Linked DNA regions of Bombyx mori. The protein of the gene in region 1 purifies or fractionates together with the protein of each later gene. This does not show direct contact. Links are inferred from orthologs where the notes say so. Each region holds a gene or a part of one and is shown on either strand. Other genes may lie near its edges. The genes, in order: protein timeless homolog and TIMELESS-interacting protein.

What was found.
Region 2: the proteins of protein timeless homolog (region 1) and TIMELESS-interacting protein purify together in Homo sapiens (affinity purification with western blotting; 6 studies listed by BioGRID and IntAct, counting the BioPlex papers as one, with this or other methods). This does not show direct contact. The link is inferred for Bombyx mori from reciprocal best matches to the Homo sapiens genes TIMELESS and TIPIN.

Annotation. Positions count from the first base shown.
Region 1 is NC_085115.1:6,779,324-6,783,817, reverse strand, and holds the start of protein timeless homolog, read left to right. Parts: upstream 1-1,646; 5' UTR 1,647-1,882; coding exon 1,883-2,136; intron 2,137-2,208; coding exon 2,209-2,392; intron 2,393-3,223; coding exon 3,224-3,358; intron 3,359-3,850; coding exon 3,851-4,107; intron 4,108-4,494. UniProt on the Homo sapiens protein: Plays an important role in the control of DNA replication, maintenance of replication fork stability, maintenance of genome stability throughout normal DNA replication, DNA repair and in the regulation of the circadian clock.
Region 2 is NC_085134.1:1,831,909-1,835,320, reverse strand, and holds the end of TIMELESS-interacting protein, read left to right. Parts: intron 1-2,080; coding exon 2,081-2,807; 3' UTR 2,808-2,844; downstream 2,845-3,412.

The DNA.
Region 1 (4,494 bases):
ATTTGCGTAATTACTGGTGGTAGGACCTCTTGTGAGTCGGCACGGTTAGGTACCACCACCCTGCCTATTTCTGCTGTGAAGCAGTAATCCGTTTCGGTTTGAAGGGTTGGGCAGCCGTTGTAACTATACCTACCTGAGATCTTCGAACTTATATCTCAAGATGGGTGGCGCATTTACGTTGTAGATGACTATGGGCTCCAGTAACCGCTTAACACCAGGTGGGCTGTGAGCTCGTCCACCCATCTAAGCAATAAAAAAAAGCATTTCCGTTTTCGGGGCAACAGTTGTACTATAAAACTGAACCTTAGAACTCATGGTGGTATTTACAATATTAATGTTTATGAGCTCCGCTTAATACCAAATGGAGCGTGAGCTCCTCCACTAATAAAAAAAAAATGTGTGCGTGTACTAGTGTACACACGTAAGAAGTGAAACTTCTTTATGGCCTTATTTTTCGAAAAATGATCTACATGCAACTTTCTAGAAATTGGTTAAATAAAGTTAAATTAGATAAAGTTTAAACAAAAGGATTTTATTATCATAGACATGAATACAAAAAAGTTAAATTAGATAAAGTTTAAACAAAAGGATTTTATTATCATAGACATGAATACAAAAAAGATGGCGCGTAACGGAAAAATGTGACACGTAACCGAAAAATGTGACGGTAAATTTTTTTCCAACGCCGATAAGGAAGTTTCACTTCAAAAATCGATTTTATATTTCCAAAGCCTAAGCTATATAAGGCATGGATAAATTAATGACAACAAATTTTCACCATTCAACTTCATTCAAGGCTTTATCGTTTAATGTTTTAATATGTACCTGAACTGATTTTAAAACCGTCTGTACACTACAGGAATGGATGCTGTCATATACTCCAAGAACTGTTACAATTATTAAAACAATATGAATCGGTTTTGTACTTGTCACTGCTGAATTATGGAATAGGATCGGCACACACGCTGAACTATATTTAGACCCATAATAAATGAGGAGGATTCAACAATGGCAATTTAATTGGGGTACCTGGACATGGAGGTGCCAAGGGAAATGAAAAAGCTTACGAGCTAGCGAAAAGCTGACATGACTTGAAATATGTGAAAGAATCTTAATGAGGATGATGAATAATCCATCTGTTTACTCAATCCCTAATGAAATAAATAAGACAGGACATGATGGATAAATTATAGCTGTAGCCAATTCATTTTTGTTATTCACGTGGTCAACATAACTGCTGCATTCACCCACAGTGTGTTTCAAATACATATTTTAAGCGTAATATGGGTGCTATAGTGATTGGCACTCAGGATTAAAAAAAAAACATAAAATAGTAGTTAGTACTACCAATTGATGAACAACATATTTTTTGTACAAAACTTTATTTTAAGTAGAGACAATATGGAAGCCAATAAGAAAACACCCTCTCTGTGTATATTTATAATATTCACATTGCCTTGGTAACCGTAAATGTCTAGTTCTTGATAGATTTCAAAACCGAGCCCCTAATATGGTTATTTAATCAGTGTTTCTTTCTTTAATATGTAATTTTTTCAACAGTTTCAGAGGGCTTGTTTATCTTTATTTATCGTAGTGTTGATTTCCAACGTCGACATCTACCTGAAAATTGTTTGTTTCTGAACGAAAATTCGTTTCGCGGGCTTTTAAATGTCATGTCATTTTAAATGTCATAATATAATTGGGTGAACTTTTATAACCTAAAAAATATTCAAAACAAAACAGCTTTGTAAATATTTATTATTATAATACTCTCGGATGTAACAATCATTTGATAAAATGATCATTTCCTGTTGTGAATAGTGAAAAGCCAAGATCTTATACGAAGTAAAATAATTTGTACATACCATTTTCAATAAATAAAATGTCTTCATTATTATCAGCTGAACTTTCTGCTACTTGCAATGCCCTTGGAACTTTTGACAAAAAAACCGGTAAATACTTAATTGATGAATTTACCATTAATACCGTTAAAGATCTTATTCGATATTTGCGTCGCGATGGTGAAGATCATGAAATAAGAAGGCATTTGGGCCAAACAAAAGTGCTACAAACTGATTTACTTCGGATGTTAATAGATCATTGGGAGAATGCTGAACTGTTTGATGTAACTCTAAGGTAAATTCTTTAACTTCCAACTATCTGGTCAATTTGAATGGTATCCGATTAAACAATGTCTGTATCTTTCAGACTTTTAGTAAACTTGACAAACCCAGCTCTGCTCTTGTACAGAGAAGAAGTACCAACCGAAAGAACAGCGAGACACAACTATTTGCAAATACTCACGCATTTACAAGCATATAAGGAAGAAGCATTTAGCAAAGTTGATATTTGGAATGTTTTCTCACAAAAACTAGCAAAAATATTAGAAACTGTAAGTTACAGTAAAAACAATTTATTGTAAGATATATTTAATAAGATTCATTGGAATTGATCTTGTCAGTAAAATTTTATTCCTTGCTCATATGAAAAAATTTATAACTTAGGTAATCCACAAATGAATATTAGGTAACTTCTAAATACTCAGATATTGTATGTTTGTGATGATGATAAAATACCTTCTTAATGTTAAGATGTACATCATTAAAAAATAATAATACTGATCATCGTGAAAATTTATACCTTAAAATTTTACATAGGTTAGAAAACAGATAAAAATAACCATAATAATCGCAACATAACTTTTATTTAACTTATAACTGCTCAAAGTTGGCAGACACAGCAGTTATTCTTAAACAGGTTTCTCTCTCGCTATGGTATAAAATATTAAAAAAAAACTAACTGTTAATTTATAAAAATATTACCTGTTTATCCACTTCAAATATTACAATGCAATATTGCACCAATAAAGCAATGATAGGACCTGAATCATATATAAAAATTCTAATGACAGTTGCCCATAATGTACTGAAGGACTAATCCAAAACTGAATGCACTATGTAGTGGAGCAATGCCTCAGGGTTAACACATACTCATAAGTTTCTATGTGAATCTGACTATAGAGAAAGCCAGGTCTTGTAAATGTTAGCCAAGAGATTTGGCTGGCTATTTTGACAGGCCTTCATAGAACATTTGGGCTCAGGGGCATACATAAGATGAAACTTACTGAAAGTGCAACAGGCTGCCTTTAAAATCAAAAATAATTTAAAAATCAATACTTAAACAATTTGAGTATTTTTATATTGCATTATCATACATTGAACAGGACTGGTCAGAGCGAGATGAGGACACAGGATTGATAATTGAAAGAATATTAATTTTAATCAGAAATGTGTTACATGTTCCTGCTGATTTAGATAAAGAGAAAAGGCCTGAAAATGATGCTAATATACATGATCAGGTAAATAATAATTTAATTTAATTTAATTTAATAAAGAATACTCTGGTATGTACCATTACTGTTTGATAAATGTATTTTTTTTATTGCCCTTATAGGCAGACGACGATATAGGCATATGGCCCACCTGATGGTGAGTGGTTACCGTCGCCCATGGACTTCAGCAATGCCAGGGGCAGAGCCAAGCCACTGCTTACCGTATTTCATGCATTTAGCATGAGACTGATTTATTAAAAGACCTTCTCTATCACTTCAATTGTATATTGATAGTGTGTCAGATAATTTCATTATATCAACTACAAGAAACATTCTTAAATTACGCAAAAATACAATATATATTTCATTCATTTTATGAGCTTTTATAATTTGCGTTAGCTGGTTACTGTCAAACTATTAAAAATAATCTAAAATGCACATAAAACAAATATACTCAAAATTCTATTACACTAAAATTAAATGTACTTTTTAGGTATTAATTTTTTAAAATAATTTTAGGTTTTATGGAGCCTAAATCAATCAGGTATTTTAGATATTATTTTATACATGTCATCAGAGAATGAAAAGCAGTACTTTATGCATATAATTGAAATAATATCACATTTATTGAGAGAACAAAATCCAAGCAGTCTTGCTGATGCTGCATTACAAAGGAGTGTGGATGAAAAATTAAAAGATGAACAGGAATTACTATCTTTAAGAATGACAGAAAATAATCTAAGACTCAGCAAAATTAAGCAGTACTCTGCCACAAGGTATCGTAATAAACATTGTTGCAGTACTAAAATAAATGAATAAAATTCCTTCAATAATGAGTTTATTCATAATTGTTAATCCAAACCTGATACGATTAGATGAAAGGAATTTACTTTGCGTTATATACAATTAATGATATTAAGATAAGGGTGATTATTCAGAAATATTTAAATTTGTTTTGCTCCAAACAGCAGACAAGTTTCCTATGTCATTTTTCCATATAATATTTTAAATTAGCAATTCAAAAAGAAAATGATAAATGACTGTAAAATTTTGAGAGTTATTAATTTTGTCACCAAACAAATAAACCTACAACATTTAACTTCATATTTCATATGGATTATCTCTTCCTTTAATTATAAAATTATGTGGATTTGTTCATAAAA
Region 2 (3,412 bases), on another chromosome or scaffold:
AAGCTGGTAGCCTAGAGAGGCTATTCCAGCGTAACCGTAACTAGTAGGTGAGCTCACGGGGCTCAAACCTGACGACGTTGCTAACACGAACCCTAGCAAGAGCCGTGCTTCGCAGAATCTACCACCGGATCGGAAACGCGACCCACTGAGAAGATCCGGCGAGAAACTCAGTAGGGATACTTGGGGTCGACATTTCGAGCGATGTCCAGTTTCGGAGTCATTTGGAAGGCAAAGCCAGGTTGGCGTCCAAAATGCTGGGAGTCCTCAACAGAGCGAAGCGGTACTTCACGCCTGGACAGAGATTTTTGCTTTGTAAAGCACAAGTCTAGCCTCGCGTGAAGTACTGCTTCCATCTCTGGGCCGGGGCCCCCAAATACCAGCTTCTTCCATTTGACTCCATACAGAGGAGGGCCGTTCGGATTGTCGATAATCCCATTCTCACGGATCGTTTGGAACCTCTGGGTCTGCGGAGGGACTTCGGTTCCCTCTGTATTTTGTACCGTATGCTCCATGGGGAAGTGCTCTGAGGTATTGTTCGAGATGATACCGGCATCTCGTTTTTACCACCGCACCGCCCGCCACCGGAGTAGAGTTCATCCATACTACCTGGAACCACTGCGGTCATCCACAGTGCGTTTCCAAAGGTTTTTTTTTGTCACTTACCATCAGACTATGGAATGAGCGCCCCTCCACGGTGCTTCCCGAGCGCTATGACATGTCGTTTTTCAAACGAGGCCTGTAGAGAGTATTAAGCGGTAGGCAGAGGCTTGACTCTGCCCCTGGCATTGCTGAAGTCCATGGGCGACGGTAACCACTCACCATCAGGTGGGCTGTATGCTCGTCTGCCTACAAGGGCAATAAAAAAATATATATATGCGTAATACGCGAGAATAAACTCAGCTTTTTTTTTATTGCTTAGATTGGTGAACGTGCTCACAGCCCAGCTGGTGTTAAGTGGTTACCGGAGCCCATAGACATCTACAACGTAAATGCGCCACCCATCTTGAGATATAAGTTCTAAGGTCTCACTATAATTACAACGGCTACCCCACCCTTCGAACCGAAACGCATTACTGCTTCACGGCGGAAATAGCCGGGGCGGTGGTAGCTACCCGTGCGGACTCACAAGAGGTCCTACCACCAGTGATTACGCAAATTATAATTTTGCGGGTTCGATTTTTATTACACGATATTATTCCTTCACCGTGGAAGTCAATAGTGAACATTTGTTGAGTATGTATTCCATTAGAAAATATGTTAGTGTTATGAGTTTAAATTTTGAATTCTTCGGGTGTCGAACGCGAGTTCGAGGAGTATGGTAAATAGTGGTCGAAATGCCTAAAAGCACCAATGCAATCCGAAAGAACGCATCTGAAGTCAACAACAACTCTAACATGGCAGCACCTATCTGTCACTTTGTCATGTCTATCTATCTATCTAATGTGTTGATAGTGGTATTAAGAATGTGAGTGAATAGGTATTCATTAAATCTTGGCTTGATATTGAATGCCCTGCATTGTGTATAAATGCAGGTGTCTATGGTTCGTTCTTCCCTTTCCTCTCGGTGCCGTTGCACGGTATGCACGCTATACTTTAAGTTCCTAATTATAATATTTACTAGCTGACCCGGCAAACTTCGTAGTGCCTCAATCGATAAATAAAAGACCTAAACTTTTGTATAAAATAAACTTAAAACAAACAAAAGGAATCCGTCCGACGGGGCACACATCAAAGGAAAAACAAAATTGTTATTTTTATTTAATTCCGAGCCTTTTCACATTTTTTCACCTTTTAAATCTTCTATGGACTTCCACGAATAATTCAAAATTAGCCAAATCGCTCTAGCCGTTCTCGAGTTTCAGCGAGACTAATGAACAGCAACTCATTTTTGTATATATAGATTGTACTGTCTGTCCGCTTGATTACCATCAATAAACTGCTGGATGTTTACTTGTTCTGGAACCCCACGCAAGTTCCACCTGCACGACTAACACGAACCAAAGGCCCGCGTGTCATTGACCTGCTCTAATAAGTGGGACATGATATAATAATACTTTATTGTGAAAATGTTTGATTTCAGATCTCAAATACTACCAAAAGCAACATCGTCTCCTTCTATAAACGAAGAACAACGAGAAAGGATGCTTAGAAATAGGCAATTGGCTGAAGAACGGCGTTTGGCTAAGCTCAAACAAAATGTCAATGTTGAACAAAAGCGAATTAATAATGATAATTTAGAAACAAACAAACAGATTGATGATATAAACAAAGTAAACAATGAAGAACAAACACTACAAAATGGGGAAACACGATATAGCGATGGAATTGAACACAATGGTGCAGTAGATAATTCATTACACATAAATAAAAGTTTGATAGAAAATCAAACTGTCAATAATGATAATCATAATCTAAAAGAAGCTCTTAACATAACTAAAGTACTTGAGCTTCAAACTAAAAATAGCTCTCAGGAAAAACCTATGGAAATTCATAATACTGAAAAGGATACAACAGAAACAATTGAAAATATTGAATTATGTGTGCCAAATGATTTGATTGAAGCCAATATAAACCAACGAACCGAAAAAGTTACAACATCTATTAATGATAATACACAAATTGATGAAATAAATAATATGGATGAAGTTGACAAAGAAAATAATTTAGATATTTTAGTAGATGACTTACGTAACAATGAAACCAATGTTAGTAAAATAATAGATCACAGTAAAGAGACAGAAGTAATTGACCCCTTATTTATTAATGATTACGCAATGGAGATTAATTTTAGTGATGAGGATTTCTAATGGTTAAATGAATAAAATACAAATATTTTTATGGCAACATCCGCATTTCTATTATTTAATACAACAGTGACAATACAATTTTTTCCTACAGACACGGCTCACTGAGTTTCTCGCCGCATGTTCTCAGTGGGTCGCGATTCCGATGCGGTGGTAGTCCAGCGAAGAACGCCTCTTGCTAGGGCTAATGTTAGCAATGACGTCAGGTTTGGGCCCCGTGAGCTCACTACTACTCAATAACATTTTAATACAACGCGGGCAACTTGTCTATCAGTAAAAAAAAGTGCGTGCGTACAAAGTACACATGTCAGAAATGAAACTTTTTTGGCGAACTAATTTATAAGTCTTGCTTATATTTATACAAATCTAAAACTTTAGATTTCCGAGACTTAGAGGAAGGAAAAAAGGGAGATATGTTCCCGCCAAAAGTCTGTCAAATGTCAATCTCTAACCTCAGTGTTGACGGTCACATTAAGTTTAGATTTCTAAATTGTAAATGACTAATATTTTGCCAATTGAATTGACTAATTTAATTTCATGCTATTTGATTAATGTTCCAAATTCTTTTCATTTCATTTCATTTCAATTCCTATTAACATTTTTCACAA